Struthio camelus: one gene and its partners. The protein of the gene in region 3 purifies or fractionates together with the protein of the main gene of each other region. This does not show direct contact. Links are inferred from orthologs where the notes say so. Each region holds a gene or a part of one and is shown on either strand. Other genes may lie near its edges.

What was found.
Region 1: the proteins of CRK (region 3) and SOS1 purify together in Homo sapiens (affinity purification with mass spectrometry; 6 studies listed by BioGRID and IntAct, with this or other methods). This does not show direct contact. The link is inferred for Struthio camelus from reciprocal best matches to the Homo sapiens genes CRK and SOS1.
Region 2: the proteins of CRK (region 3) and PEAK1 purify together in Homo sapiens (affinity purification with mass spectrometry; 4 studies listed by BioGRID and IntAct, with this or other methods). This does not show direct contact. The link is inferred for Struthio camelus from reciprocal best matches to the Homo sapiens genes CRK and PEAK1.
Region 4: the proteins of CRK (region 3) and EDC4 purify together in Homo sapiens (affinity purification with mass spectrometry; 3 studies listed by BioGRID and IntAct, with this or other methods). This does not show direct contact. The link is inferred for Struthio camelus from reciprocal best matches to the Homo sapiens genes CRK and EDC4.

Annotation. Positions count from the first base shown.
Region 1 is NC_090944.1:139,621,241-139,628,651, forward strand, and holds the start of SOS1 (son of sevenless homolog 1), read left to right. Parts: upstream 1-4,410; 5' UTR 4,411-4,476; coding exon 4,477-4,563; intron 4,564-4,923; exon of another isoform or gene 4,924-5,907; coding exon of another isoform or gene 5,908-5,928; intron 5,929-7,366; exon of another isoform or gene 7,367-7,411.
Region 2 is NC_090953.1:22,562,749-22,570,689, forward strand, and holds the start of PEAK1 (inactive tyrosine-protein kinase PEAK1), read right to left. Parts: upstream 3,017-7,941; 5' UTR 2,849-3,016; intron 2,504-2,848; exon of another isoform or gene 2,322-2,503; intron 2,082-2,321; exon of another isoform or gene 2,065-2,081; intron 1-2,064. UniProt on the Homo sapiens protein: Probable catalytically inactive kinase. Scaffolding protein that regulates the cytoskeleton to control cell spreading and migration by modulating focal adhesion dynamics. Acts as a scaffold for mediating EGFR signaling.
Region 3 is NC_090957.1:15,834,176-15,842,035, forward strand, and holds the start of CRK (adapter molecule crk), read left to right. Parts: upstream 1-4,846; 5' UTR 4,847-4,903; coding exon 4,904-5,147; intron 5,148-7,860. Other genes in the region: NCBP3 (nuclear cap-binding protein subunit 3), read right to left, coding at 265-417. UniProt on the Homo sapiens protein: Involved in cell branching and adhesion mediated by BCAR1-CRK-RAPGEF1 signaling and activation of RAP1.
Region 4 is NC_090951.1:24,306,675-24,314,327, reverse strand, and holds the start of EDC4 (enhancer of mRNA-decapping protein 4), read right to left. Parts: upstream 3,005-7,653; 5' UTR 2,865-3,004; coding exon 2,786-2,864; intron 1-2,785. Other genes in the region: NUTF2 (nuclear transport factor 2), read right to left, coding at 5,666-5,779. UniProt on the Homo sapiens protein: In the process of mRNA degradation, seems to play a role in mRNA decapping. Component of a complex containing DCP2 and DCP1A which functions in decapping of ARE-containing mRNAs. Promotes complex formation between DCP1A and DCP2.

The DNA of each region.
Region 1 (7,411 bases), on a different chromosome or scaffold from region 3:
CTTCTGAGCTGCTTAGTTCCTGGATATCGGGTAGAGCAAGAGGTCTCCTCTGCTAGGCCTGCAGCTGCCCTGAAGCAACAGTTTCCCAGAGCCACGCTTAGTGGCAGCTTCCAAAACCACCCTTCCTGATGTAAGACTCTGTGGCTGACTGAAAGGAGCAGAGTCATAGCGAGGGAACTGAACTACAGGCAAGCCTACAGCTAGTTAAAGCAGCTACTCTAACAGCCTGCCTGGGTTCTGCTTTTCTCCCTCGTCCCAGCCCCATCTAGTCTGGCTGCTTTCACTCCTAGCCGCTCGCATGCAGAAGTGTGGTGTGGCCAAGCGATAGGGCATTCACTAACCTGGTAGCAAAGTTTTGATCAGTGCAGGGGCCGAGCTTTGGTGTCAGTTCAGACTGAGCTTTCTTAAAGATATTCCAGTCCTTTGCAGAGATGTTCCTGGAAGCACGGAGGACAGGGGAATGAGTGCTGAATATCCTGTTCTTGCGCATCTCTACAGGCAGTGCTGGCTGCCCCTGTCAGAAATGGGAAACGGGGACGTTCTCAAAAAGGAGGAGGCTCAGATTTGGGTTTTGCACCCCACCGGCATCAACTGAAAGCAAGAGCATTGCAAGGTGACACCCTTGTTGCTACCTACTTGTTCCTTACAGCTTTGCAATCATGACCCCGAGATCAGACTCCATGTGCCCTGGGCTGGGGGCACCAAGAGGTCTCTGGGCAGCGGTGGGGATGCATGCAACCACCAGGCTGAGGCACTGGGCACAGGCAGGGTGACTTTCTTGCCTCATCACAGGCTTTGGCTTTAGCAGTGCCCTGCTGGGTTTTAAAGGGCTCTATGTAAAAGGGCTGAAAAGAAGCTGATAAAAACAGGGAATGTGCCTAAACCTCTTGCCTCCCTTCGAGGAAACAGTCCAGATTGATCTAAAACATGGATTATAGGGAGCCATGTTCCAGGCCTGTATTGAGGGGTGCAGAGGGAGCTGTGAGGGGACACATGTCTGGAGAGGGGCAGGCCAAGGCAGGCCCTGGTGGGCTCTCAAGCTTCCATTGTGGACAGCGATGCTGGAGAAAGCAGTTAGCTTGTCTGCTTCCCAGCATCATCCTCTATGATATGGCTGCATCACTGTCTCCTTCCCTCCTTGGGGAACACCTCTTTGGGTGCAGACGTTCCCCCTAATTAGCTAGTTGGAGCTAATTTAAATTCAACATCATTCAGGTCCCCCTTCCTTTGTTCTGATATCTGACCGGCAGCTACTCCCAGCAGCGTCCTGCAGTCCAAACACAAGTGTATGTCTTCAGCCCCTGTCAGTCACTCCTGGTGGCATCCCCTCCTATCCCCCACTGGCAGTTGCTCAGTCAGGAGGGGTGCTGTCACTGACCGTAAGCCCCGGCTGCTCTTCCAGCCCTCAGAGGAGAGTATGGCAAAGGGCTGCTGTGCCCCTCCAGCTTGTCCTCCTCTCCCTCTGGCAGCAGCCCTGGGCATCCCAAATGTCCCCATCCTGCCCATGCACGTCATACACCACAGACAGCCTGCAAGCCACCACCACACTGGCTGCAGCCTTTCATTTCTGCTGTGATGACAGCAAGAGCGATCAGCCTCAGCTTTGCCTCTCTCGGTGTAAGGGCAGGTCGTCCTGCTGCCAGGCTGCCTGCATCTCCCCTTGCCACCAAGCTTTCTCCTTCCCCTTGTGCTTTGACCCCTCTGTTATTAAGTCCCTCAGCAGCTCCTAGCTTTTAACTCCATGCACTTTCCTGCAATAGCCTGCTCCATAGTGAATGCCAGGAAGGCTGCAATCCTCCCTCCAGGTCCTTAGGCACCCTGCCTGTAGCAACGCACATGTTTATATCCAGTAACCAGCAGCACCTGCACCTGATTGCACTTTGGCTGCCTCTGCTGCCCTCCATGGATGCTGGGCCACGAATCCAGAGGTCTGGGACTGCAACTGGTAAGCGAACAACATCTATTGCTCTCAGTCACGTTCAACTGATAGGTGGGATTTTTCCCATCCTGCCTTAGATGCTGGTTTAATTTTGCCATGTTCGGTGAAGCAACAGCTCCCCAGACAGCCATAGCGATAGTTGCAACTTGTTAAGTTGCTTCACAAGTGAAACCGCACACTCCCATACAGCACACAGAGTGTCTGCAGTTAGGCAGAGAACAAGTGGCCAGTGAGGAACCTGGAGTGCCTTGTCCACATCGACAAACCCAGGGCCCCCCCAGGCATGGGGGGCTCATGGTCCATGCTGGACTGGGCTGGGCATGGCAGGGTCCTAGCCCCGCTGTGGAAAATGGCTGTGTCAGAAGGGAAGCCTTGAATTTGTGTAAAAAGCCAACCAAGCAACCCTAGGCTTTCACCAACAGCCCAAGTCATGACCACTTAGGCAATACTCGGTCCTCAGATGGAAGACAGCATTTCCTTCCTGTCCAGGTCCTCAGTGTCTTTAAAAAGGGATTTTGAAGTGGGCATAAAGGCATTGAAAGGCAGGAGCAAGAAGGCTAAATACGGGGGGGGGGGGGGGGGGGGGGCTGAGTGCTGATAGCTCAGAGTCACAGGGTGTCCTGTGGCCTTACCGAACATTTGAACCAACTGCGAATACAGCGCCTGAAATCTTACGTTATCCGATGCTCTTTTGTGGGAGTGGAAGAGATATTGTAGGCCATTCACTGGTACTCAGGGGGTCTCAGAACACAGCCCTGACACCATCTGACCATCACCTCCAAAGAGAGGGGCTGGAAAGCAGAGCGCTGGTGCGATTTTACACCCAGCGTTATGCATATTCAGGAGCTCCTGAAGCATAATGCTTCAGGATTTAAGCTCTGACAGACAGATTTTTCACCATAAGGTAATGAGTACAGCATCTTCCCCGTCTATCAGATGCTGAGACTGAGTGTTCCTGAATCTGCAGGCAGCCTGGCAGGCCAAAATAATAGCTCTGAGATGTGAAATTTCCCTCCTTTCATCCCTCTTCCAGCATGTTCAAAGCAGAAGTCTGACTCCTTCAGACAGGAGTACCTGTGTAGAGGAAAAATGCCCGAGGCAGGGCTGAGGGGTAAAGATAGCTCTTTCTGAGAGGCTAAATACATTACCTGCCAAAGTACTGCTTAGCTCCTCAAGAACGTCTCCTGTCCCCAGAGTGCTTCACAAACATTAATTAGCCAAGCCTCCCAACACGCATGCCATTCCTGATAGATGTTTGTCTAACCAGTCCTTGAGACGAAGGAAGACTCCGCAGTCTCTCCGAAGCACTCTGTGTGGGTACTTCACCCTCCTCCCCACTAGAAAGCTGGTCCTAAGCCTTCCTTTCAGTGATCATACATCTTTCCTATCCCTCTTGCTCTCTGTGCTCCCTAACAGCACCTAACTATTGCCTCTTCCGGCCCTTGGGCCCCCGCACCTTGCGAAACAGAGCAAAAACTTCTCCTCTCCAGCATCATCCCTCCCTCCATCCTGCCTATCGGACCCCACTGACCACTGTGGACTTTGTGGTGCTTTCCGCCAAGAACCAAGCTCACTTTTCGCCCTTACAGCTGTTCTTGCGCTGCTTTAACAGGGTGTTCATTTACCTGTGATCTCTGTCCACATGCGAGATGACTGGACGCGTCAGAGACAGAAGTCCCCGGGCAGGCGTCGCACCGCCTCACCGCCGGCTACGTCTCCGCGTGCTCGAAGCCACCGGGGCAAGGAAGGCTTGTGAGGACATGGGCTGCCTCGGGGACGTTAGTAACGATCCCTGCGAACTGCCGCTCGCCGGCAGAGGGGCGGAGGGGAGGCAGGCGCCCCTCAGCGCCTCACAGGGCTGCGGAGCGCGGCCCTCACCGTCGCTCCCTTCCCGTCTCTCCTCCCCGGCGCCGCGGCCGCTTCGGGCAGCGCTGCCGGCGCGGGCGAGCGGTGTTTGAGCGGTTTCACCTCAGCGCCCGAGCCCGTCCTCTCGCGGCGGGGGCTCGGCTCGGCCCGGCCCGCGCGGCCGTTAACGGCTGCCCGCCCGCAGGGGGCGCGCGCAGGGGATGGGAGGGGGGGGAGGCGGGCGGCGGAGCGCGACCACGCGTCGCCGCGGCGCATGCGCGGGGCGGGGCGGGGCGGAGGGGGGGGGACGCCGCCGCCGCCGCCGCCGCCGCGCCTGCGCCGTGGCCGCCAGCCGTGCGGGCGAGGAAGGGGCGCGCGGAGCGCAGAGCGGCGGCGCTGCTCCCCCGCGGCCGACCCCGCCCCTCGCGGCCCGCCGGCCGCGCCGCGTGACCCCGCCGCCCTCCTCCCCCCCTCTCCCTTCCCCCCCCCCCCCCGCCGCGGGGGCGACCGCCGAGAGCCGGGCGGAGGGGAATGCGGCAGCCGCCTCCCCCCCCCGCCGCTGGTGGCCTGCCGGCGGCGGCCGCGGCGGCGGCGGCCGCGGCGGTGGTGGTGGTGGTGGGGGGGCGCCGCCGCCGCGCCTCGCTCTGAGGAGCCCGCGCCGCCGGGGGGGGGCCGCCGCCGCCGCCGCCGCCATGCAGGCGCAGCCGCTCGCCTACGAGTTCTTCAGCGAGGAGAACGCGCCCAAGTGGCGGGGGCTGCTGGTGCCCGCCCTGAAGAAGGTGAGCGGGGGCGGCGGGGGGGGGCTCGCCGGGCCGCGCCGGCGGCGGCCTGGGAGGGGAGCGGCGCGGCGAGGCGAGGCCGCCCCGGGCGCGGCGCCTGGGCGGCCGAGCCGGCGGAGCCGCCTGGCGGGGCCTGGTGCCGCCGCCGCCGCCGCCAGGGCTCTGCGCGCTCCGGAAGCGCCTTCCCTCGCCGCGCCGGCCGGTGCCCGCCGAGCATCGCCGGGCCGGGCGCCTCGTCCCCTAGCGCGGGTTTACCGGTGAGACGGCGAGTTGGGGAGGGGAAATCCTCCTGAGAGGATTTTTGGTTTAATCAGTGTACGGGTTAAATGGCTTTTTTTTCGTTAAAGCCTGTCTCGGTGTACGTGCTTCCCGCTGAGGAGGCGTCGTGGGAGCGGGCTAGGGAGCCCTGCTCCCTCGGGAGGGTGGTGAAGGTGATGGCTGCGGCGTGGAAAGAGTTGATCGGGAGGAGAGGAAAAAATCGTCGGGGCTCCTTTTCCGCCTCTGCCGCCAGAGTTCAGAAAGTAGAAGGCTTAAGATTAAGCTTCAGACGCTCCGGCTCGAACCGGCCTCAGATCGCTGGACTCGGTCAACGCTTTTTAGTCATACGCAGCAGCGTTTTACGAGTCTGTTTGGTTATGGTGATTAACTTCGACTCCTGCGCGCCCAGGGCTAGCTGAAGCGTTGGGTTCCCCAGCGCGGACTGGAAGTCTCGAGTGTTGCTGTTGTACCCGTTCAGTATTTCTTCCCAATTTCCTCTTGCGATGTGTTGCCTCACGTTTTTCTGGGCATGCTCTTTGAGATCTCCTGCACTGTGTGGTTTCATCCAGTTCTTGGAAGTCCTCTTACTTGTCTCATCCGTAGGCTAAGCTGTCAAATGTCTTATCCCTGATCATTAGTCACTTTTTTGAAACTAAACTTCTGGGCTGACCGTATGACCCAGGCAAACCCTGCTTCTTATGGCGCTTTTAAGCGCTTGGGCAGCCAGCCGGCGGAAGCTTGGTTGGAACCTGGAGCTACCGAGGTCTGAACCCCTGAGAGCTTGCTTTTGTGGCGGGTGGGTTATTCCCCCACCCAGAGGTTCATCAAGTTTGGAATGAAGCTCAGTGCTAAATGCTGGAGGAAGAGAGCGAGGATCCAAAGGCAAATATGAGTTAAGACTTTGGAATTACTTGCTACATGTGAAGCACTAGTTTTCATCCCAGTGGACAAACCATTCGTGAAGCCGCCCTGGATTGAAGATCCTCACCGAAGGAGCTGGATGAACGCTTTGGGGAAAAGGAGACAAGGAATTCTGGAGTCGGAAGTCAACAATCAGAGAAGGCCAACGATGACCAGTTAGGAAGGATGACAAACCGGCCAAGCAAGGTATGGTGGTCTTGATTTCACTGTGTTATGCTCTGTTTCTTGTTGTGTGCAGAGGGATGGCAGGAGTGATGTGGAGTTACTACTGAAGACTCTTCTACACTCAAACTTGCAACTGTGTGGCAGATGTTAACTCTTCTAACCTCAGCTCTTCATGAGGTCACCACCTGTTTCTTATCTGCTCCCAGGCTGTAGTCCAGTGTGCTCCAGAATCATAGTCCTCTTTGCTTACTGTTCCTGTCCCTGCAAATGTAGAAATGAAGCATCTGTCCATATTGCCATCTACCTTGCTGAACAGCTGGATACTCTAGTTACTCGATACTTAAATGGCAGATGAAAACATTAAAGCTAATGGAAAAGCCAAACAGAGTATTTTACGAGCTTGCGTGGGTACACGTGGTCGTAGCTAGAGTGTTTAATCCTGACGGGCCCTGTAAAGTTATGAACATAATTGGCAGGTAAAGCCATCAAAAATACAACATGCTTGCTTTGACTATCTTCTTTATCATTGAATTGCTCAGAAAACAGAGATGATATTGCAGCTTTGCAACCAGTGGGCTTGAGACATTGACCCTTTGCTGTGCTATAGGCCGAGCGTATAGCTAGACGTCAGTGTGTGCAGCTGGTAAAAAAGAGAACGTGGCAGCATATGCCAGCAGGGTCAAAGGGCAGAACTAGCCTGGAGGGAAACATGGTGCCTTGTGCCTTTTTCTGCTAAGTTGCTAGGGTAAGCTGTCGCAGTCAGAGTCAGATTAGCTGAAGCTCAGGAGCATCCCGTGGTTACTAGTGGAGAGCTTTTTCCTCATGACTCCCAGTTAGCTGGCCAGATCCTGATACTCGGTCTCAGGTAGTGACAGCAAGTAGCTTTCTGAACTCTCCCTTAAAGCCAGTTAGATCTGCAAACGGGGTTGTGAAGCTTTCCTGTGTATTTGGAAATGAGACTTGACAATTTGGAAAGGCCTGTCTTTGTGATCAAAGTGGTATCTCTGATTAGGAGAGCAGCATTTTGATTTAATGTTGCCAAAGTATGTACACCAGGATGGAGTGTTCCCAGCCACTGGGGAGAACTACCACATGTGGACTGAATCGTTAAACTGCCATTACCCTTTTGTAACTTTGAGTAGGCTTGTTGTGTTGAGTCTAAATTATAGCCCCAGAATCAATTGCTTACAAGCCGCGTGTTGTTAAACCATTGAAAATATGTATTTTTCCCAAGGAGTTGTTCTGATTCCATGTTTTTATGAAACAACACAAAACAGAATATGTTGCAAGAACAAATCCCTTCCTACATCAGTGAATTTTAGGAAAGTATGCCTTGTCTTTCATTAGATATTGACCTTAACAATAGGCTCTGTAATGCACTGTGTTTGCATGGAACAGCTGCATTCACAAAAAGCAGCTCTTGTACCATTCAGATCATAATGTAATCCCTTTTCTCCAGTTCTCCTTCAGATGCTGTCAAGATAGACTCCAGTGCACTCAATTA
Region 2 (7,941 bases), on a different chromosome or scaffold from region 3:
TCAGAAAGACGAGAAAGCTTCATTTTCAGTTTCCCATGCCAGGTGTTTTCTTCACTCTCTCTTCTCACATCAGGTAGTCTCATAATGTTCACGTTATCAATGCTTTTCACAAGTGAAACACTATCTCGTTATTATGCCCAGGTCATTTGCATTTTGATGGTCTGCCCTTACCCGAATATGGGCTATGATACACTGACTACAGGGGAGGGAGCAGCTCGGCCGGATTCCAGCAGGAGCTGCCGCCACACGGGAAGTGGGAACTATGTGGAAGCCGGCAGGACACAGGCCTCATCTCAGATCCATACGGAGAATTCTCTTTACATTGTTTGAGCTCCCTTTTCAAGAGCTGGGGAGAAAAAGATCCACAGCTATTCATTCAAAAAAGAGACAGGACTATCAAGTTAACAACATTTGAAAGTCAATCTCTCAGAAAGCAATTAGAATGAACAAAGCAATGACCAGAAAGGATCCCTTTAGAGAAAGGAAAAAAGAAAAAAGGGCAACCAGGAGGAGTGGAAGGGTTTAATTCCAGATTGGGATGAGAGGAGCAACTCATCCCAAGGAGGAAGGAAGGAGGAAAGCCTAACAGCAAAAACTACACAGGAAAAAGGAAAAGGACAGTAGAGACGTAGGAGCTTAAATTCAGGAAACAAGGTGGAGAAGAGGAAAACATGTCACAGCTTGCTATTTTGATAGTAAGCTTTTTCCTAGCACAATAGAGAACCTTAACAGCAATTACTAACATCTGTGACCCTAAACAATAAGTTACAATAGATTTCTCAAAGATTTGACTACCCTGACTAGGCAAGAACCCACTCCCGCTGAAGCCATTTGTCCAAACAGCATCCCCCCTTATTTATCTTTAAATGATCAATTCCAGCCAATTCATTTATTTGGTAAGTGCATACAAAATAATATGCATTTTGGTAAATATATGTTTGTAAATAGACTTTTTAAAAAGAGCTGGAAAGTCAGAAACATAAGTTACCTAAGACATTGGAATGGTATTTTGCACTCTCCATTTTACTTAAGTAACCACAAGACTTAGCTAAAAAGGGGAAACGTCCATTTTTCAAAATAACTGCATATCTGTTTACTTGCTTATATCTATGTATGTTCTAAAACACAAGGCAATCCAAGCCCTGCGTCCATGAATGAAGCTCGCTCTCATATCAATTGCTTGTTTCCAAGGGGGTGCAGCTGGGCGAATGTGCCCAGCACCAGCCAAGCCAGGCAGCAAAGCTTGCTGGCTCCCCGCTCCTTTGCAGCTGGTGCCTCCTGTTCAACCTCACAAATGACACCCGGGCTGCCACTGTGCCATCCACACACGGAGGAGGCATTAAAGTCACCCAGAACGAGGCAAGTAAGTCATTTCAGAAGTCAGTGAATAGCGTTACCTACATGAGATATTTTAACAATAAGGTAAATCTATCATGAAGTGAATACATAAGTTTAATCATGGAAAGTTACTCATGGAAAACGGGTAATTCACTTCTTGCATACTTCTGCATTTTAGAGGACAAAATGAGGTTTTCCTGAAAACACACCAGAGCAGTAGTTTTGCCAGGAAGATGCTTCATCTGGATAAGTCATAGCTACTTTACAGACAAGACTTTTTAAGTCAGTATGAAATTAGATTAAGAGCTCTAACTAGTCAAACTGAGCAAATAAAACATCCGCAAATATTTCCTGCTCTGTGATACTAGTGGAATCAAACTGTCTAGGGGAGGTTGTAAGTCACCCAAGAGTCACACAGAACTAAATGCATCTGATTTGTAACAAAGGTGGCTGTTGAGCTGGTAATTTTATACAAGTTTGTAACTATAGAACTTAATTACTGGAATTCCATCAAGTCTTGGCTCTTAGAACAGCTGCAAGTCCTTTCCTTCCTGTCCATATATCTTGTGTAATATTTTTTTCCCTGCGTATACAAGAATAAAGTGCTTTAGCAGACATCAGACAGGGTTTAAACCGCCAAGAGTAAGTGGAGAAACTTCAGAGCCCTTTATGAAGTGAAAAAAAGAAGAATGAAAGCCGAGCTCTAGAAAACGAAATGGCACAAACCTGAAGTAGATAGAAACAGTTTTTTCTGGGGAGAGACCCCGTTAAATTCGCCTTCAGAGACCCTCCAGGCAACGCTCTCCCTCACCCGCATCTAAGAGCAGCCTGGCCATGCCGTGCCTGGTATCAGCTGCTGGGCAAATAACTAATCAGTGCCCTGTATTCCCTTCTTCTCACTCACGGTCGCGAGGCAGACCCCGACCCTTCCTGCCTCGTCCCACCCGCACCAGCGATAAAACCAGACAACCGGACTGACCAACCTGCAAGTCCCGCAACAGGAGAGGCGGCACCGCAAAGCCGACAGGAGCCGGGACCGCGGCTACGCCCGCACCTACCGGCCCCGCCAGACGCGCCGGCCGAAGCGGCGCACGGGCCCGCGCCCCGCCGCAGGACCCGGCCGCAAAACTTGAGCCGCGCCGAGGCCGCTGCCAGCCGCCAGCCCGAGCCGCGGCGGGGCGAGGGCGGCGCTCGGGCCCCGCGGGGGCGGCGCGGCCGTCGGCGCCGGCCGGACCCTCCGCCGCAGCAACAAGCGGCCCGGCCCGGGCTCACGGCGCCGCCTGGGGAGAGTGTCGGGCCGCGCGGCCCCTCGGCGGCGCCTCTCCCCGTCCCGTCCCGTCCCGTCCGGTCCGGTCCCGCTCCGCGGAGCCGAGCCGACCCGGGCCGGACCGGGCCGCCGCCGCGCTGAGGGAACCCGAGCCGCCGCCGCCCCTCCCCCCTCTCCTCAGGGACGCGCGGGAGCGGGGCCGCCGCCCCCCACCCCAGGGCCAGGGCCGCGCCCACCCCGTACCTGGCTGGGGCTCCCCGGCCCCACGGCGCCTCCCGCGGCCGGGCTGCGGCGGGGAGGGAGGCGGCGGCGCCGAGGAGGCTCCGTCAGTGCCGGCTCCCGCGGCCGCCGGAGGAACCGACCGGCGGGACGGGGCTGCGCCTGCCTCGCCCGCGCGCAACCACCGACTCCGAGCACCGCCCCCCGCGCGCGCCTAACCCCCCCCTCCCCTCCCCTCCACGCGCTCACCAGAACCCGCCGTGCGGCGATTGGCTGGGAGGGCGGCGAGGGGGCGTGGCACGCCGAGCCCGCCGCCTGCCAGATGCGCCCCGGGGGAAGCCGCGGAGGCCGGCGGCGGGAAAGAAAGACTACAGCTCCCAGCAGGCCCCGCGCCCACGGCCCCACCGCCGGGCCTTTTAAAAAGCGCACAGCAATAGTGCGCTTCCGCCTGCGGGGAGAAAATAGTCCCGGCGCGGGTTGCGGCCGCTTCCCTCCCCTTCCCCCCACCAGCCTGCGGCACCGGTTCGGCCCGCGAGCAGGAGGCCGCGGCTGCCGGCGGCGGCGCCGCCGTAGCGTCCCCTGCGAGGCTTCGCCGGGCGGGGGCGGGCGGCGTGGGCGGAGAGATCCGCGCGGGGTCGGGGAGCGGTGCGGCGGCCGAGCGTGTGTGAGGGAGGCGTGCGGCGGCTGCGCGGGCTGGGGGCAGCGCGCGGCGCCGGGACCCCTCGGCCCTGCGGCAGGTCAGTAGGGAGGGCCGCGGCCCCAGGCCCTTTTCCTCTCCCCGGGCGGGGAAGGGCCCCGCGGGGTGGCTCGGGCTGCGGGCGGCTCCGGGGCCGGTGTACCCCGGCAGCCGGGCCTGGCCCGCTTCGCTACCGCCCCCCTCCCCCCCCCCAGCCCCGCGGCGAGGGGGCTGTGAGGGACCCGCCGGAGGTCGCGCTGGGTGAGGGGAAGAGCTGCGAGGGGCTCTGGGCCCTGGGCCTCCCCCTTCTCCCTGATAGCCCTCCTCCCTGTTTCCCCCGGAGCGACGAGAGGCAAGGATGGTATTTGGTGACCCCTTATGTTTTATGTATTTATTATTTTGCCATATCCGAGTAACGTTCCCTCTCAGGCAGGTGGTTTATTATAGTATGGTTTTCTGACCCTTCTTTGCTAGATTTTCAGCCTGTTTCTGAAGAGCCTAAATATCTTACCGAGGTTGCAAAAAAAAAAAATAAAAAAAGAAAAAAAACCACCTGACCCCGGAATCTGAATGTACTGGAGTGTCTTGCGATGCACCATTCATTCAAATCCTCTGAAAGGCCAGCAGAGAGTGAACCTGGCCTGGTCCCGCTCCCTGGAGCAGGGTGAATGGTGGGAGGTTTCACAGTACTGTGGTGGTGTGCCTTAGGAGAGAGCTAGGAGTGGATGCAGAGCTAGTTATTGGAGATAGTCAAAGGAAAGACCCTCAGAATCAGCTTGTGAATGAGAAAGATTAGTGTGCTTTCGTGTTACTTAATGGCATCCAGGAAAAAGAGGGAAGAAAGGACAAAAAGATTCTCTTATTTCCTCTGTAGGAAAAAAAATCCTGTTGGCAGAGAAAGGGAGCTTTTGCTTTCTAAAGCACTTAAGTTTCAAAACTTGTTAAGACTATTCCCGTCTAACCAAATAGTAGGCAGGTATCATATTAGTGACAGTGCTGCTGGAGAGGAAACTTTTTCGTTGGTTTACAGTTAATACCTCTTTTAGCAGGTGAACTCATGGTAGATCTTTGAAAATCCCTTTCTTTTCTGTGGGAAGTGACTTGTGTAGGTGTACTAAGCTTGGCTAAAGCTATATGAGAAGTCAATGGCAGAACTGGGCATAAGGATTTGGAAGGAACTGTGCACTAGCAAGTTTACCTATGTTATTTTGAAATGTTCTTTCTTAATTTCATAAAAGTAGAAACCTGACCAGCTGTTGAAAACAAATACTTTATTTTCATGATTTTTTAAAATCTAGGCCATGCGCATAGTGCCATACAAATTACCTATTTAAAGATAGTAGCGAAATGCCGTTTTACCTTTTTCTAATACATCTACATTATGCATTTCTTAGAAGGGCCTGGGTTCTTTGCATTTCTAGAATGACAGCAGTGGCTTAGATGCTGGCAAATACTACTTTTTTTTTTTTCCTCAAGGAACTGAGGGAAGGTAATTGTTTTTTTTTTTTTTTTTTTTTTGTCCACAGATGGTCTGTCAGATCTGGAAACAGAACTTGAAATTCCTATTCCTAAGTAGATCTAGGCTTACAAACTGTGACTAAGGTGGAACATTCAGATTAGTCCTAAATTTCTTAAGTTAGGTTTTGTAAAAATACAAACAGTTCTCAAAATAGAAAAACTGAAGAGTAAGTGATCTAACCCCACTGTCCTGGTTGTAAGTTAAATATTTAGTTTCCTTTTGTTGCTCATAATGGGGGCCCCTAGGTAGTAGCTTGACAAGCGCCCCTCTTCCTAATAGCTGAGAAAAGGGAGAGGAGAATGATTATTTCTGCAGGGATGTTTCTTTAGGACCTAAGAACAGAGTTCAATTCTTCTGTATGTATTTGACTGTTAGGTGGTGACTCTATTTTATCACAAATTCTAGTACTTTGCAGGAAAGCAAATGAGAAGGGACAGAGTCTTATTTTCTTCCATCTTCTGTTCTTGCAGGGCATTGTCCCATGGTAAGCCCAGGCTTTCTATGTCAGTTCTCTAAGCAGCCATCAGACAAGACTTACTGATTTCCTTGGTGCTCCTAGACTTCTGAGTGAAAGCAGTGACTGTGAGCTGTAGTTTTCTCTGTACCGACACCATGAAGTTATTCCTGGTATGAGAGGATAGGAGTTAAGACAATTGCATACTAATATGTTCAGCTTAACTTTGGATACTTTCTTTTAAGTGCTTGTGTAAAGAAATGCCTTGAAATAAAGGGTCACTGTAGTATCAAAGCTAGCCTGATAAGCAAGATACACCTTCACGCCTAGGAAAGCAAACTCAAGCTTTCCACAGTATGTGTTTGAGACTTTCTCAGGTTTGCTGCTGACTGGACCAAAGGCTGCAGACGAGTCTGGAGCATGCTTAACTAAAACTTACTTAGGTTTCTGAATTCCTGGTGCACTTCTCTCCCCTGCCCCGGTCCCTCAGGACTACGACTGAAAAGGTGAAGCACTCCCACTTACGTTACAGAAAAGGTCACAGAGCTGTTTGTTGGAGAACCGCATGGTGTGGGATATGCCATGAGAAACTCTGGTACTGCACAAGATACTACAGTGCAGGTGAAGAATCTGGACTTACAGTAATGGGAATAACATAGTTACTCTTCTGATGATCTGCGTGAGAGAGGGATAACTCAAGGGAACCTATATGTCCTTTTCTGTGGAGTGTAGGTGAATGAGGAAAGGGTGTCTTGTGGGTTTTTTCTTTGCCAGTTGTTCATGTACCCTAGTGCAATGTTCTTCCTGCTTCTTGGCTGTAATTTGGTTGGCATTAGGGCTTGCCCAAAACTAGTTGCTTTCAACGTTCCTTTAAGCTTCCTTATTTTACTTTCATAACTTTTGCTAGAAAGAGAGAGGGAATTTCTTGTGTTCCTGGAAACTGTTAAAAGTTCAATTCTTTTTGAGAGATGAAGGGTGGTAGTTAACAATAATTTGCTGCTAAGTGTTCACTGAGTATGAATTTAAGAGCAGATTGTTTTCAGGACATTATTTTTTTTAATCCAGCGGACTTGTTTCTTGAAAGCTGCCAAGTCTAGTTGGTATCCACTATATCCAGTGTAAGCAGTAACTAAAGTTTTTTATTAGCAGTGTAGGTTAGCCTTCATTGGGAAGATCTGCAATGTTGGCCTTGTATCGTTATCTGTCTACAGAACTGGCTTGTGCCATGAACAATGGTGTGGTTGCTCCAGTGAGGTCAGTAGTGCAGCTATGGGTCACGCGGCAGCTATTACTTTTTACTGTGTGTTGTCTGATACTGTTCCTATATAGAATTATGGGTGCAAAACAACTGGAGCTGAGTTTTTATATGCACCTTCAGCGAGATATGTTAAATGGACTGATCTTGTAATACTCTTTTCTGTAGTTGTGGTATTAATACCTGTCTCTTAGGGACAAACCTGGAACTGCCATTCTGTTTCTGAAAGGCTACTAAAGAACAATTTGGTAACTGCAGCTTTTGGTGAATTGCTGGTAGAGCCAGATTTGAATAACTGTTTTTTAGCTGGGAGGAATTTTCATGCTGTGATAGAAGGGAACAAAACCAATTACTGTGGAATGACTGAGTGTTTCTAAGTGTATTAGGAAATCTTCCTTGTTCCTTGACGTTCTCTCAAAAGGCAGACGCAGATCTTTATTAATAGTGAAAATATTAAATGGGAGCTTTACTAGGTTGTCTTCAAAGTGACTTGTTAAAGATGTTGACCCTAGAAACAAACGATTCTGCTTTCCTTCCCAGGAGACTAGGGCATTAGCTGACTTTGGCTAACTGATTTCGTTTTTTTGGGCTGTACATCTTATGTGGCATACGATGAACAGCAAAGCAAATCCTTATACTTACTTCACTATTTCTGGAATTCTTGTGACTCAGATTCCTCTTTACCTGAAGAAACAGTAAGAACAATGTAAGACCTTGGAATATGCCTTTTGGGCATTGTGGTTGGGAGAATAAGAGGGATAGCTGACAGCCTTCGCTTATAGCTCAGAGTTGTTATGGTATGAAAATGAGAAGAATTGCCCTAGCTGAAAGTCTGAGTGACTTAGTTGTTACTGATGACAGCAATACATGTGAAGTATATAGTCAAGAGAATGAGTATGGTGAAAGTGTCAGTTATTAATTGAATTTAGGAGACTTAAGACTGATGGACTTCAATTTCTGAGTACTTTTTCCATACTTTTTTCTTCCTCTAGTGCAGAACACAGAGGATTTCTTGTCAATTTACTGCATTGCTGGACAAAGTCTGCTTTTATTCTGTTGGTGTATTCAAATATGAAAAGATAACTCCATGTCTTTAATTATACTGTGATATCTGAGGGATTGTTTGTGCAGAAATTCTCAATGAAGTTTTCTTTAATTGCCACTTCAAAATATTTGTCACCTCTAGAAATGGTTTGGACCTTAAGTGGCAGTA
Region 3 (7,860 bases):
CACACCAGTCCCCTCAAACCCTTCCCCACCGACTCCCTTACCCCCTGCGCCCCCCAAGTACGTCCCGGCCGCTTCCTCCTACACTCCCCTCAGGGGCCCCCGGCCCCCCTCCCTCAAATCCCCTCACAACCCCCTCGCGGGCGCCGCCCCTTCCCCCCGCGGGCGCCCCCAAACCCCCTCACAGGCCCCCGGCCCTCCTCCTCCCTCCCCCGGGGCTGGTCCCTCCTTCGCCCCCCTGCCCCGATCCCACCTCCCGCCCCTCACCGGGATGAGCTCCCGCAGCGAGCGCCTCACGGGGATGGTCTCCAGTTCGCCCTCTTCCACCTCCATAGGCTCCGGCTCCGGGCCGCGGGGCTCCGCCGTTGTCGCCGTTGCCTCCGCCTTCACCGAGATCCGCAGGCCCCGCACAGCCGCCATGGCTCCGCCAGGCCCGCCCTCGGCCCGGCCAGCGAGGCGGTCCCGCCGCGGCGCAGAGCGCCGCCGCCCACAGCCACCACCGAGCCACAAGGCGGATAGAGCGCCACCCAAGGCTACGAGCGGGAGCGGCGCCGACGGCCCGCTCTGGTGCGCCTCAGCGCCATAGAGACGCGGTGAGAGGGCGGCTCCGCGGGTCCTCCAGCGTTACGGATCGGCAGAGGGCTAAAGCGGCCATTTTCCCCACAGACAGCTGCTCGCCGCGGCCCTGACCTCGGGGCGCTGAGGGAAGGGCGAAGGGAGGCAGGCGCGCCGCCTTCCTCCAGCCCTCAATGGCGTCGCTTGCAGCTGATACCCCTGAGTGGATTTTTCTGTTGTGAATTTGCTGAGATTTTGAATGCCTGCCCCGCCTTGGGCAGCACTGAACGTCTGAGTGTGAGGAGCAGGCCTTGGATCCGTGGGATCCTTTCACATGAGCCGCTGCGCCGCCATGTGCTCTCCTATGTCTGGAAAATTAGAGCAAAGCAGAAAAGTCGTAGGGAAAAGAATACATGCTGTACAGAGAAATACAGAATGAGATGGAGGGGATGGGTTGTAAGGTCCAGACCTTGTCAGCGCAGGCTCTGCTTTCTACAATGACTTTTATAATGATCTGACTCCTTAAAATGTTAGTGTGTTTTTTTTTTTTCTCCGCTCCCCTCTGTTCTATAGGAAGGTCCTTCTGGATTTCTACACATCTGATGAAAGAAATCTAATTTCCAGCTTAAAAGTTATTCATGGCAAGTCTCTAGCCTATTGTTCTTGGGCTGAGTTTGGGCTATTTTAACAGAAAAGTCCTAGCTCTTCTTGGCCTTCCTTTCACTGGGCTAAGTCACACTGTTTGGATCCATTATCATGAAACAAATTCTTCATTCCTCTAATTATCCTAATCTCTGTAGTTCAGCTATATCTTCCCTGGACACAGCAGACCAGAACTGTGTTTTAGCTGAGGGCTCGCTAGGGCTTTAGTCAATGGCATCAGCGCTTCCCCTCCGCGGCGAGACACCGCAGTTGATATATTCCACCGTGGCAGCTGCGTTTTGTCAGCTGCATCACATCTGCAGCTCACAGTCACTTTAAACTAACCTGCTCAGGTTACACATCCACCTTGGTTGTCACATCCAGCCAATTTCAGTAGAAATTCCTCATATTTCTTGGGCTGCTCCATTCCTCAATTTTGTACAATTTCTGACCAAAACCCTCAAAATTATCCCCTGTGATATGTCGCCTTTCCTTTGATTTGATAGTACTTCCCAGTAAATTTCAGTAGCCAATTTTGACTTTTCCAGCGTGGTGTGGAGAGATTTTGTAGCTGGCAACGTAAAGGCTCCTGCCCTTATACGTACTCCAGTGGGACCAATATTTTTTCTCACTACAAGTCACACCTTCCAGGCTTACTATTTTTAACAGTCTCTGTGTAGAAGTCCTTACACAACAGCTAATGTCAGCTGCACTCCTCAGCGTGCTATATTTGGTGCTGACATCATGTAGCTAGTATCTGGCAAGAACCACAGAAACATGATACTTCCAAACCAGATGTGAACAGTTATGGCAGAGACCAAACACACATACGTAACATGGACATGTGAGTAGTAAATAGGACATAAACAGCTGATGAAATTCTGGAATGAGTGCAAGAGGAAACACATCTCTGTGGCAGAAATGCTATTTCTCCAGAACATGGTCCACCAAAAGGTGGACCTCTTCCTCCTCTTAGTTTTCATTCTGTAAGTAGAAACAGTATTGGCATCTGTGATCTAGAGCAGATTTATGGTTAGGATGGGGTTATGTGACCCCAGGTTCTCTAGCATTGCAGTTATTAGAGCAGATGAAGCCTTCAGTTAGCCCAGGTATTTCCTTAATTTTATTTTAACATCCTTGAAAGCAAGAACATTTCTACTGATTAACTGTGGTTTTAGATCAGTTGCTGAAGTTTTAATGCTCCTTAGGAAAATTCATCTCTAGGCGGACTGGCAGGGACAGTGAAATCAAGTTTAGCTGCACTGAGAGAGGAAAACCACGCAGTTAAGGAGAGCTCGCACTGGTAGCATTTTTGCTCTCAGGTAGGTCAATGGAATCTTCTCTTGGTATCTTACAACTTCTTTCAGAATCTTGTTTAAATTTTTAACAGTGAATTCTTCAGAATTACAAACTGATCTAGTTTTATTCTTCTGAAACTGTGGCCAAGAACTCTGTTGTTCCTTCCCATTCATCTCAGGCTGCAATCCTCTGCCTTTGAAAGGCCAGCACAGGAATGCAGGTTTGGGCATAAGGGCTCCGCCTTTATCGTAGCTTTTGTTCAGAAAGGATGGGTCAATGGTAGTAAACCACTGCAGAGTGGAGGGCTTACATAAGTGCTACATACGGAAGGGAAGAGGGGAAGAGGAATTTGGGAAAGGTTACCTGGAGAAGCCCTGAGTAAGCAAAGGAAACGTGACAAATAATGAGGGTCAGAGAGTGACTCAGAGTTAGAAATCATCCTGGCACAAAAACGGCAAAAGGAGCTGCTTTCATCGGGAGTTTCACTCATTTCCCCATCACTGACCACCAGAGGGAACTCTTGCAATAAGATTCCCAACGGCTTGCAGTAGGGAAAGCCAAACCATGCATGTAAACCTCCTCCATCTCCTGTAGTTTCGTGGTTCAGCTCAAAACAGAGGGTGATGGGGTACAAGGGTGGGGACCGGGAAGGGAGATAAAGCAGCAGTTTGCGGGCCCTCAGTCAAAAGCGGTCTTTTTTACAGTGGTCTGGCAGGAGTCAGAAAAATGAAGAAGTTTGCCATTTTAAGAGTTTTTTGTTTTTCGTTTTTTTTTTTTTGGACTGTGAACCACTGGACAGAATGGACACTTTTTTGCTACAGTGATTTAACTCTCCTAGATTATTTGGCTCTCAACAAGAAACTGCGGCTGCAGCTTTCCAAATTTGTGACTAACTTGGGCATGGAACTGCCAAAGACAGGTAATTCTGCAGCTGGCTAGCAAACTCCACATGTCAGTAGGGGGAATTGAGCTCTGGGTTCCACATGGATGGTGACTGTCTCCTACCTACTGTCAATCTGGAGAGAGAACAGGATCAGCAGGGGAAGGATGTTCCTTTGTTAAACTATTGCCAAAGCGGATAGATATCCAGCACCTCGTGTCTTCTTATGGATTTGGTGAACAACAGTTTCCCACCTGTAAGACACAGGATATATTTTCTCGCTAGGATATTTTGAGGGTTAATATGATCCTAGTTACCTGATTTATGCCAAAGTCCCATCTGTAAGATAGTTACAAGGCTTCAAAGTGCCCTACAAGAAAGAAGAGGTTCAGTCAGCCAGGCTTGAGGACAGCACCATCACAGTTAAGGACAGCTGTACTCCAACGTGGTATTTATGCAAGTGCTGCCACATGGAGGCCACACAGTTGAAAAAGCACATTCCTTTCTGGAAAAAGCTCACAGAACTGAGCAGAGCTGGAAAAGAATTCAATAGACATCTATCCAGGCTCTACAGACATTCCTCTGGAACTTAAGAGAGACCTTGGAGAATAATCTAGAAATCTAAATTTGTGCATGCCCACATACACGTTTCTCTGTGGCAGGCCCCTGCAGTAACAGAGTCAGTGAACTGATCTGGGTAAAAATAACCTTTTTCTTTTGCAGGCCTGTTTTTAACAGCTCACTGGCCCAGTTCAGCACGTAGCCTCATGAAAACAGCTTGTGCTGGCACAACCCTTGGCTGGGGGGGAAGCTGAGGGCAGGAGCTACTGCTGCCGGTACACCCCCGGAAGAAAGGGCACATGGAGCTGCACCCTTTGCCGGCCCATCCTGAGCGCAGACAAGCCTGGCCTCACACGAATTACCAGAGGGAGCTGCGGGCCCCCGTAGCTGGGAAGCCATCAGGGAACTGCACAGGCAGGGGGCTATCCTGCAGCCTCGTAACGGGAGGAGCCGGCCGCAGAGGCAAGCCCCGGCTGCCCTCCCGCCTCCCCGGGGCCCTGCTCCCGCCGGCCCTGAGGGAGTCGGCGCCAAGCGGCTGGGAGAGCGGCGGCCGGGCGGCGAGGAGAGGCGAGCCCTGGCGGGGGTCGCTGCTGCGCTCGGGTACCCCGAGGGGGTCATCCCGGTGGCGAGCAGCCCTCGCCGGTGTCCGTACACCGACGCGGGCGAGCCGGGGTCGCCAGGCCCGCCCCGACCGCCGCCATGTCCCCAGTTCGCCTCAGAGCCCGACCCCCCCTCCCTACGGCGCATGCGCCTCCCCCTCCCCCTCCCGCTCCTGTCCCCGCGCGGAAAGATGACGCCACGCCTGCCCCGCGTCTCCCGCGTGCGGTCACATCCGGTAGGTGAGGTCAGGGCAGGGGCCGCCATTTTGGGTGGCAGGGCTGGGCTGGGCGCGGAGCGGGGCACGGCGGGCGGCGGCGGCAGCCCGCGGGGGGGAGGGGAGCGAGCGCGGCCTGCGGGCGGGCGGCCCCCATGGCCGGGCAGTTCGACTCCGAGGACCGGGCGAGCTGGTACTGGGGGCGGCTGAGCCGGGCCGAGGCGGTGTCGCTGCTGCAGGGGCAGCGCCACGGGACCTTCCTGGTGCGCGACTCGGGCACCATCCCCGGCGACTTCGTGCTCTCGGTGTCCGAGAGCTCCCGCGTCTCGCACTACATCGTGAACAGCCTGGGGCCGGCGGGCGGCCGGCGGGCCGGCGGCGAGGGCCCTGGGGCCCCGGGTGAGTGACCCCCAGGGCTGGCAGTGCCCCCCAGCCCCTGCCGTGCCGGGGAGGGCGGCCTCCCTCCCCCCGGCCTGCGCCTCCCCCTAGGGGCCCCGCGTCCCTCCCCAGCGCTGCTTCCAGCCGTGAAGCTCTTTGTAGAGGAATTAAGTCGCGTTTTGCCGCTGGGGCTGGTGGCCGAGCTGAGGCGTTTGTCCGCACCAGCCTTAAACGACCTGATAACGTAGTTAAGCTTAACACGGGGACTGTGCGCTCCTTGCAGCCCTCCTGAAAGATCCGATGGCTTTAGTGCTCGCCTGTGCTTTTGTTTTCATAAAACTGCTAGCGGTAATTGATAGACGGTGCATGCCATCTCTGGGGGCCTGGGGACCCTTCTGTGGATATGTCACCTGAAAGAGCTGATTTCTAGCGAGGTGCTTCTGCGTTAGAAGACAGACTTCGAGGCTTACTTTCAAGTTGTAAATCAAAGTGTTTGTTGGGTAGTTCAAGTAGTGGGAAATCCTGAGGAACATAAAGGCAATTTTTCCTTTAAATCAGATGCCAAGAGAGAAAAAAAAAACTTCACATCTTTTGAAAAGGAGGGTTGATATTGTTCCTCATCACCGTAAGATCTAATATGAAAGAAAAGTGTTTAAATGCAACACCTATAGAACAGAAGATACTATTTGTGTCAGAGGGAAAAATGGATCATTAGAGCAATTCTGAAAGTATAGACATAACTAAATGAATGAGAGTCCCCAGTGGTGCTTGATCCTTAGATGTATAAGTGAGAATGTTGAGTTAAAAGGTAGCAGTGTCCCTGCTGGGGGCATTACTGAATGCGTTACTAAAACTACCCAAGTTTCGATTTTAATGCTTACAAGATGATGTGGGCATATCATCTAGCATCTCAGGAAGGAGCTACTATAAAGTTTTGAAGTCTGGGAGACCTGCTACATGATAAGAGATCTGGCTAACTTATTTGCAGGAAAGTAAACTTAGCATATGGATTGCTACAGAGCCCACCACTTTCTGATGTAGGTATTTGTGTCTGGAATAATAGACCTGTATTGGGAAGATGCAGCAATATCTGCTGTAGGAGGATTTTTCGGTCTTTGCATGGACTTCAGCTGACTATGGAGGAGTCAACCTAAGAAGAAGCAAGCCTGTTGCCAGTAGGTTTGCACCATTATACAGTGATCTCCCCTGCTCAGGGGAACGTTTAAAATTGGCCAATTTGGAAAATCCTGAAGGCATTGCGTTATCCTAGGAACCTGTCATTGCTGCCAAGCGCACCCCAAACACGAAAAGCTTCACAAGGTAGAAGTTAAAGGTGGCTGAATTCAGCTGGAAGTAAAGTGGAAATCATTACCTCCGTGGGAAGTTAAATATTTTGCCAGAATACATGGTGAATTCCTCATTGCTTGATGTCGGTCAGGACAGAGATTTTTTGTTGTCATAGGTTTACGGAGGCTTGATGCAGGAATTACTGTGCAAAATGCAGGATTGGTGTTAGGTAGAACACAGGAAGTTACCAGGATACTCCTCTGTGGAATCCAGTCTAATAGGATTGTGGAGATGGTAGTGAAGAAGGACCCTGTGGAGTATGAGTGCCAGTCACTTTGCTGGGCTGCTGTCTTTTACAGAGCAACTCTTCTCTGGAAAAACCGTATTTTTCATGTAGTTAAGTGCATATTCTAGCTACTGTGATACTGCTTTAGTAAATAGCTGTTCCAACTTTTTTATCTTACACTACGTTCTTAACCTCAGTAATGTTTTGTGGTATTCGTTGGACTGGTTCATGTTATGAGTGTTTTTAAATTTATTGTGTTTTGGTGTTTTGTTTTCTTTTTAGTCACTAAATGTCCCATAGGTAGTTATTTTCTGTCTTAAGTGTTTGTCTGTGTTAGAAGGGTAGGTGCTATTGCAGCTGTGTAGGCTGTTGGCATAGTAGGGTTAATCTATAGCAAAAATCAGTACATCTTGGTTGTCCTTGTATTTTTATTTTTTTCCTGGATGTTATGAGTATAGCTGAGGCACCGCTCCTGCGCTACAGATATTTCTGTGCTGAAGTTTTAGTGATTTTAAATTGTGCCTTTGTGCTGAAGTTGCTGTCTTCTCACTCTGAAAGCAAAGAAACAATGCTGGCAGAATTAAAAAAAATAGATTTCCTTTCAGAAAAACGTAGGTGGAGGGGGGGATGTTCTGGAATGGGAGGGAGATGGAACCGTTGGTAGAAGATTCAAGAGGATTTCGTACTTGGATAGGGAAGGTAATGCAATAAAACAAGGTAAATGTTTGCAAATTGTCATATTTATTTATTTATTGTGATCAAGTTATTTTCATTATTGTCATAATTGTCTCTATAGTATAACTTTCTTAGCAACTGATTGTATTTGAAAAATGCACACCTCTCACTGAGAAATCTAAATATGCCAGATCAGGTTATTACAATGATTTCTGTTAGTCTCAGTTAAGCAGGTGTGTGATTCATGAGTGCTTGAAGTTTGCTGTGTGCAGATTATACCAGGAACGTAGCTTCAATACAGAATGAATGAGATGAGGAGCTTTGTCTTCCCTAATATAAAAAGCCTTAGAGTTTCACAAAAATGAAATATCTTCCATTTCTGAAGTATTAAAAAAAACAAAACCCTTATTTTCTTAAATCCAGCTTTTGCCTGATATGCTACAGTTTCTAACTTTGTGCAGTCAGTTTTTCAGCATGAGGAAAATG
Region 4 (7,653 bases), on a different chromosome or scaffold from region 3:
GTTGGCCACCCTAACGTTGGCCATCAAAGGGAAAGAAGAGCCAGTCATAATCATTACCTTTTAGGCAAGATACAGAACGCTTTCTGCTCCCACCATAACTTACACCTGGTAACACTATTTTGTATTAAAAAGAATACTTCCCCAACAAATGTCACGTGAGTTGGGTGAATCCATGTAACACCTAGTATCAATGGAGATTTCAGCATGGATTAAAGGATTCTGCCCAGAACCCCCAGGAGGGACTCTCCTGCACTAGCATCAACACCCTATCTACAGCTCAGAAGAGCAGTCATGCTTCAGCTGGGAGACAAATAGCTTAATCTTGTAGTTTCCCTTCTTGAGGGAATGACACCAAAAAAAGGCAAGAGCTACTGAAGTTCTGAATGATATACACTGAAATCAAGTAAAACCTCTATCAAGAGAGATGGGGTACAGGTGAGGAACTGCATTTTCACAACCACCAAAAACAGCAGAACAAAGAAAGTGTTACAATAGCTGCAAACTCTTTGGAGCAGGGAGCATCTCGTCACGTGCTCGGAGAGCACCTAGAATAACATAATACTGCTCATAACTGCAAGGCAAAACTTTCTTACTGTTCAGAGGCTTGGAAAGCAGCTACACTATTCTTTGTGGGGTATTTTAGTTTGTAAATGCTACGAATAACAGAAACTAGAACTGGAGAGGATCTTGACAGCAGCAGCTGTTATGCCAGACAAGACTAGCCCTTCACATGCAATTCATGGCACTGCTTCTATTCAAAAGCTTTGATGAATCAATCCCTCAATTTCCCTTTCCCTTTGTTGTGTTCATAGGCCTTTCAGAGCCTTTCAGTTAACAAACAAGTACTCTTGCTCTTCATTTTGTCCAGCTCTTTAAAGTCTCTGCTGCTACACAGGCAACACTTCCTGCTGAGCACAAATACAGGCGCGTTACTGCTTGACTCGCAGTCCACTCACTCCTTTTCCTCCTAACTACTTTCTCATGCGCTGGAGTTGACAGAGAAGGTATAAAGAAAATGAGATGCAAAGGACAGGAATCAATTTCAAAGAAGAAAAATGAAAAGATATAAGCCATTCTCAATGACCAATTCCTTTGCTTCTAACAGCAAGAGAAGCTGCTTCAGGGGGAAGTCAAGTCACCTTGAGAGAACAACTTCAACCATTTCCCAGTTACGACACATCCTTCCAGTTCATGAATTGCTCATGAAACAAACACTCCCCATCACAGCATTGAGTTCTCCTTTCAATCTTTCAAGTACAAAGCCTTGCACTATAAAGGAGAAGTGTATTTTTACACTATTAGTATTAAAATCCTGGGGAATCTAAGTGTTCCAAAAATAAGAGAAACTACTTCAACTAATTAGAAGTTTCTCTATGGACACCAAAACTAACAAACCCTGGCTTACGACAGATTTGCATCTGTCACCCCATGTGCCTCCACTTCCCTCACAACAATCCTACATCCAACCTCTCATCGTTTTGACCAAGCAAAAGACAGCACATACAGTAGTTGCCTTGGCATTAGTGTATTTGTACTGACAGACTGGGTGTTGTCTCTCAGGACACTTAAAAAATGAAGCTCTTCTTTATGCTCTCAATGAGGGAAAAGGAAGAGGGCATAATTTCTGTTCTCTATCCATACACTATGCTTCTGCAAAACATCTAGGAACAATCTTCTTCAGCTCACTACCCTACCAGGTTAGACTGAAACAGTCCAGAAGGTCCAAAAGCTATGTTGGGGGGTTGAGAGAGAGATACTATGCTAAAAGGGAGTTGGAACACATTTTATACAGCTGACTGCTAAGACCATTGCCGTCTACTACAGATATTTCTCATGGGTAGAAAGACACTGACTGATCCACTGAACTCAGAGCAGAGAAGTATAATCGCTCAAAGCAAAGGGAGAAGATTCACCACTGCTTTTAGAGAGATGTTTATGACACGAAGCCCATTTTACATTCAAATGAAAAAGGGACTGAAAAGGGTGAGGACAGTGCCAATCTCAGAGAGACCAAATAGCCCCATCCACTCAGTCCAGTAAGAAAACTTCAAAGACCTCAAAACTTTTTTAACAAAGGAGAGAGACTTGAGTGGAGAATTGAACTGTGCTGACCTACTCAGAGACAACGACACCTCTTAGAAAAGAGAATTCAGAAATCACTAGAGCTCACTAGAAAAAGTGAGCTTTGCGTCCACACGGCTTCCAGGCCCTGTTCAGCAACAGATGCTGTCTCTTGTAAGCGAGGGCCTGCTCTGGATTTTATTTGAGCTACCAGTCACTGGGGTCCTCTCCTTACCCAGCTGGTACAAACTTTGCCACTAAAGTCTGTGCTCCTTGGCAAAAGATTCAGGGCAAGTGGGACTCCCTGACCACCCTCGCTCTTACCTCAGAGGGATGGAGCCAGCCACCCCGAGCTACAGAGAATGATGCCACTAGTGCCCCAGCAGTGAGCGCAAGGCGGGCAGGCAGCGGCCACCATACGGCAGTGCTGCTCCGGTCGCGTGGGGCTCGAGGCCCAAATTACGGGTAGGGCCCGGCCTCGAGACGGAGGGCCCTGAGCAACAACGACGGCAAAGCTACAGCGCACTGTGGGCCGCGAACAGGTGCTTCCCTCCCCCCCCCCCCCAACGGGGCCAAGTGGCTGAGCAGAGGTTTGTGGTGCAGGTCTGGGGCAGGATAGCACGGTTCCTGACACCTGCGGCCGGCACCGCCACGGCGGCGACAGCGGCGACCGGGCCCACCGGCAGCGGCCTCCCCGCGCCCCCTCGGGCCCCGGTCCCCTCACCTCCCGGCCGATCCAGCTTGAGGATATCCCGCAAGTGCTGGGTCGCGTCCTCGATGTCGATGCTAGAGGAGGAGGCCATGGGGCCAGCCCGGTTCCTGTCGCCACAGCCCGCGCAACCGCCGCCGCGCTACCCCTACCTACCCCAGCCCGCCGCCCCCACTTCCGCCTCCGGTCCCGCTGCTGAAGCACCGGGCGGAAACCTCCGCCGGGCCGGCGCGTTCCGGGCGCGGCAGGGGCAGAGCAGCCCCGCCCCGGGGCTGCTGCCGCCTGGGGAGACAGCGCGGGCCAGGGCCGCCGGCGGCCCCCAGGCGCTGCTCCAGCGGGCGGGGCTGAAGCGAGTTCCCTTCGTCCCCGCTCTGACAGGTGCCCGACCCGGCCGCGCAGGGGCCGGGGAGCTGCCGCCAGGGGCCCCAGGTACCCCCCCACCCCGACACTCGTGACTCCGGGCCAGGCTTCACCCTTGCTCCTCTCACCTGGAGGAGCTGGAGGAGCAGGGCTGGGCCTCGCTTTCTTCAGGCGATTAAAAGGCAGATATTAAGTAGGAGAGAAGAGAAGCAAGTCATCCCCTTCTTCTGAAGAGGAAAATGTTCCTCCTTTCCCTATCCTCACATAGCTCCCTGCAAAGTAGATTACCTGTTGCCTTCAAGAACCACATTCAGAGTTTTCTTAAGACATATTTTTAATGTGGCTATGAATAGCACTAGTTTCAAAGCCAGTATGAAATTCCAACCAAACTGCATGCAATACCATGATAGGGTTCCAGAAGTTTCGCTCTGAAAGGGGTGAGACAGGTCATTTGGGGGAAAAAAAAACCCATCACATGTAATGCTCCCTTTCTCCAACTACAGGCAGCTATCTCCACCTCTCCAAGAAGCCCCCTAACTTGGAACATGACTGTTCAGGGCTCAGTCTAACACTTGCACCGAGACAAGGGTACAAGAAAGAAGCATTCAGTTAAGAGGCAGCAAACCTGTTCACATATCACAGGCCTCAAAAGTGACCTGCAGATCTGAAAGCATTAAGCAATACTGATTCAGAAACACTGGCATTTGTTTCCTCCAGGTAAGGAACCAGGAATGAATGACTCCGTGGAGAAAGGAGGGGAAAAAAAAAGTACTATTGTGGAAAAGTATTATTATGGCCCACTTCCTCCCCCTATAGCCAGTTACAACTGCATGGGATAACTTCAAAGAAGTTTTAAGGGTTTAAAGAATTTTCATTTTAGATTTGCTGTTAAACTAACACTGGCAACATGTAGCATTCCTGGAAACTAAACCTCTCTCTTAGCTCTTTGAACTCACCAAAGGACTATTTTCACATAGTGGACAAGATCTTCCTGCAAGGCAAGGTTCATAAGCCAGACTTCATTTAGAGCTGTAGTCTACAACAGAAAGATCTTTGCCTAGCACTGACCATGCAAAATGCCTCCTTCTACTAAAATAGTCTCTCCAAGTGATAAATTTTGAATGCTATTTCAATAGCACAGAAACAGCAACAGGGACACAGTACTGCATTTGAAACAAATCAGTCAGCACAAAGGGAACATATGGAAATGTTGTGATACCAAACAGGCAGGCCCTAAGATCAACTTTCAAGAAAGCTCCATTCCTATTTCAACATCAAAGCAACCAGATTTGAGAACTGATCAGCTTGACCACACTGCAGCCCCAGCTTTCTTGTAAAGTCTAAGGGAAATGCCAAGTTCAATATACTTTGAAAGCCTGGCCTCAGCCAGGCATGCTAAGCTCCTAAAAGTCTGGGCCTAATGGCTTAATCAGCTATGAAGGTAAACCAAACATGATTCTGCTCATGTGGTATTTCTTATTCCAGAAAGAGTTAAGTATTTAATAAATCCATTCACTAGTGAAATGCTGCCACCTTCAGGGTGATACAGGACAGTCAATGATGTTGGAGGGGAAAAAAACCCCACATCCACACTGCACAGCAAATGCAGTACTATCAACTAGTTCAAATTATAGTGAAGGAATGCTGAAAGGATAATAGAGCATAAAGCTGCCAAAGGGCATTTGGGCTGGATGCAAATTCAAGGATACTAGATTGTCTAAGTACTTCAGACATCTGGAGGCAAGTATCAGGCTGTGTCTACCTACAAAAAAGATAGAACTGGCTTGTTTAGCTTTGAGGGTTAACATAATAAATGTCATGAAGATAAAACACAGGCTGCCATGACTGTAATCTTTGTGTAGTATCTTGTATTTTGCAAAGGCAAAAGCCTAACAGCAGCCAAGATCTAACAGGTCAAGCAGAATGTTAAAAACTGAGCCAGAAGCCACCATTGCAATAGCTGCTGAGAAGGAGGGAGAAAGCAGTTGTATGGCCAAGGGCGTACCTGAACAGCCTTCCCCAGTGAAAGTCTTAAGTGTTTGTAAACATTTCCCAATGAGGTTGGATACCCTGTGTCCACCTAATTCAAGTAGTACCATATACTCAATATCCAACTGCTAAAAACAATTTAAACTGTTAAGAAAATCTCATGGTTTTATTGTGTAATGTAGCATCAAAACATCCGAACAAATCAACATCTGGGCTGTACAGGCTGCTGTTCTTTCATTTCTTTGGGTTATAAAGCATCTTGTCAGTACATAAACAGCAACCCTTTGCATTATAAATTCTTTCCGAGGCATGCTGGTACAACACAAATTTCTCTTGTCAAATGCAGCTAAGTAACTTCCAAACATCATGCACAAGGAACTCATCTAGTGACAATGTAAACTCGGCAGAAGGGCAGGTCTCAGGTCTTGCTTGCTCACGCTCTGCAGTGCTGCAGGTTTGTGTATGATATTTGGAATGTTCCGTGAGTGTGAATAATATCAGAAAGAAGAGAGAAGAAAAAAGCATGGGTGCCTCGGGGTTTCCAGCTCAGCCAAAGTTGTGCAGTGCTAGCCTGAACATGTCATTGGTGCAAACCCAGGCATCATTGATGTTCTTTAATAGAAATATCTGGTGGAATCCCATGATAGGATCTTCATCAGCCTGTGGAGAAAGAGGGGGAAAAAAAGGTTTGAAAAAAATTTTTTTAAATGAGAAATGCATTCCAACACTCTAAGCAATATTTAAAAAGCTAACACTAACAGTGAAGTCATGTGCATGTCCAGAACCTCAGGAAACAACTAGAACAGAGCCTCTGGTTGTATTGAAGTTGCTTAGCAAACAAACACCTAAGGCCTCACAACACAAATCCTGCAACAGGATTTGAACCTGCTGCAGTTTGTTGGGGTTTTCTGGAAGACTGTTGCAGATGTCTCATTCCAGCAGCTTCACATCATTGATAAGTACATGCCTGCCTCATTGTGCTTAGTCACAAATTTCTGTTGGGCCATAGCCTAGGAACTATTTGTAAAGAAATTATAATTAATGTTTTTAAAAACTAGCTGGTAATTGCTGTAGTATGGATCTGTCATAGAAGGGAGTTTTTGTAGGAGTCAGTATCAATAATATTGCCTGAATGATCTCTGCTATGATCTAGGCTTTTGAAATCTTTCCCAGAGCATGTACAGCTGGCCAGCCATGTAGTACTTCATTTTCTACTGTACATGAACAGCTCAAAATAACTTAAACAATTGCTGTAGCTGTGACAGGATGTCTAGCAGAGTGAATCTCTGTAGTGGTGCCTCGACTTCTGCCTTTGACAATTCAGCTGTGGCGGGGGGGGGGGGGGGTTATAGTGCCTGTGTTACATTTAGAGGTGTTAGGGACTAAAAAAAAGTAGAAAACAGTATGAGAGAGACTAGTCCTCCCATCTAACGTTTACCAGTTTCCTCAGTGACATCATGCACGGGTTAAAGCCATAAAATAACATAAGTGATTGATTCTCACATCAGCATTAAATCTTATTGTGTGATCTCCAGCTGAACAGTACATAGTACCTAGGTACAAAAAAACCCCTTCTGATACTGACCATAACATACTCCATTCAACATTTTCCAGAGTATTCAAGCTTTAATCTTTCAGCATGCAACTATTAAACTCCAGGAAAAGAGTGAAAAAAGCATTAAACCATTAAAAAGCAGCAGCCAGAGGAATGCATGAAACACTCAAAACGCTGAATGAACCTAATTTTGGGTGGATTTGAGTTCTCTGCAGTCCATCAAGAAAAGTGGACGAAAAAGCCAAGAATAAAGAACAGAGTAAAGGAAGCTGCTAGAAGTAAATAAAGCATCCTCTAATTAAAGAGGAACACAAATGATGAATTAACTATGAAACAAACAAAGGAGAAGCAACTTCCTAAGGACATAAGTTACATCAGAACCAGGAAGTCTGCCAGAGTACTGGTAGAGTTAAGTGCATAACTAAAGCATAAGAGGAACATTCAAATCTAAAATCTAGATCTAATATCTAAAAGACCCTAAAATTGACTGCAAGGGTTTCAGTGACAACTGCCTAGGAAATAAAAAGGTAGATGAAATGCAGTATCAGTATGTGTAGACTAATCCATGGAGGAAAACAAAAAAGGGCCCCAAGATTAGCTGCTGTCTCTCAGGAAAGTGATACTGAAATCATTATGGACAATTTTTTTTCGAAATACCACCTCAGACCTCAACAGCTATCAAGGCAAAGTGCTAGCAGCTATTAGGAATGGAACAGAACAGAAATGCATAATTATGCGACCACATAAATGCACAGAGCACCCACATATCAAATCCTGCATGTATTTCTACACAGTAGAATAAGGAATGGCCAGAGAAGGGCAAGACAGATCATCCAGTTTCCTACTGATTACAGCAAATTAAGCACAACGCTAACCTGCAAAAAACATGTCTGGGTGGGGAGAAAGGGTAATATATATTAAACTACTATAAAACGTGAAGGACAAAGCGATAAGGAAAATTCTCGTCTTATTTGGTGTC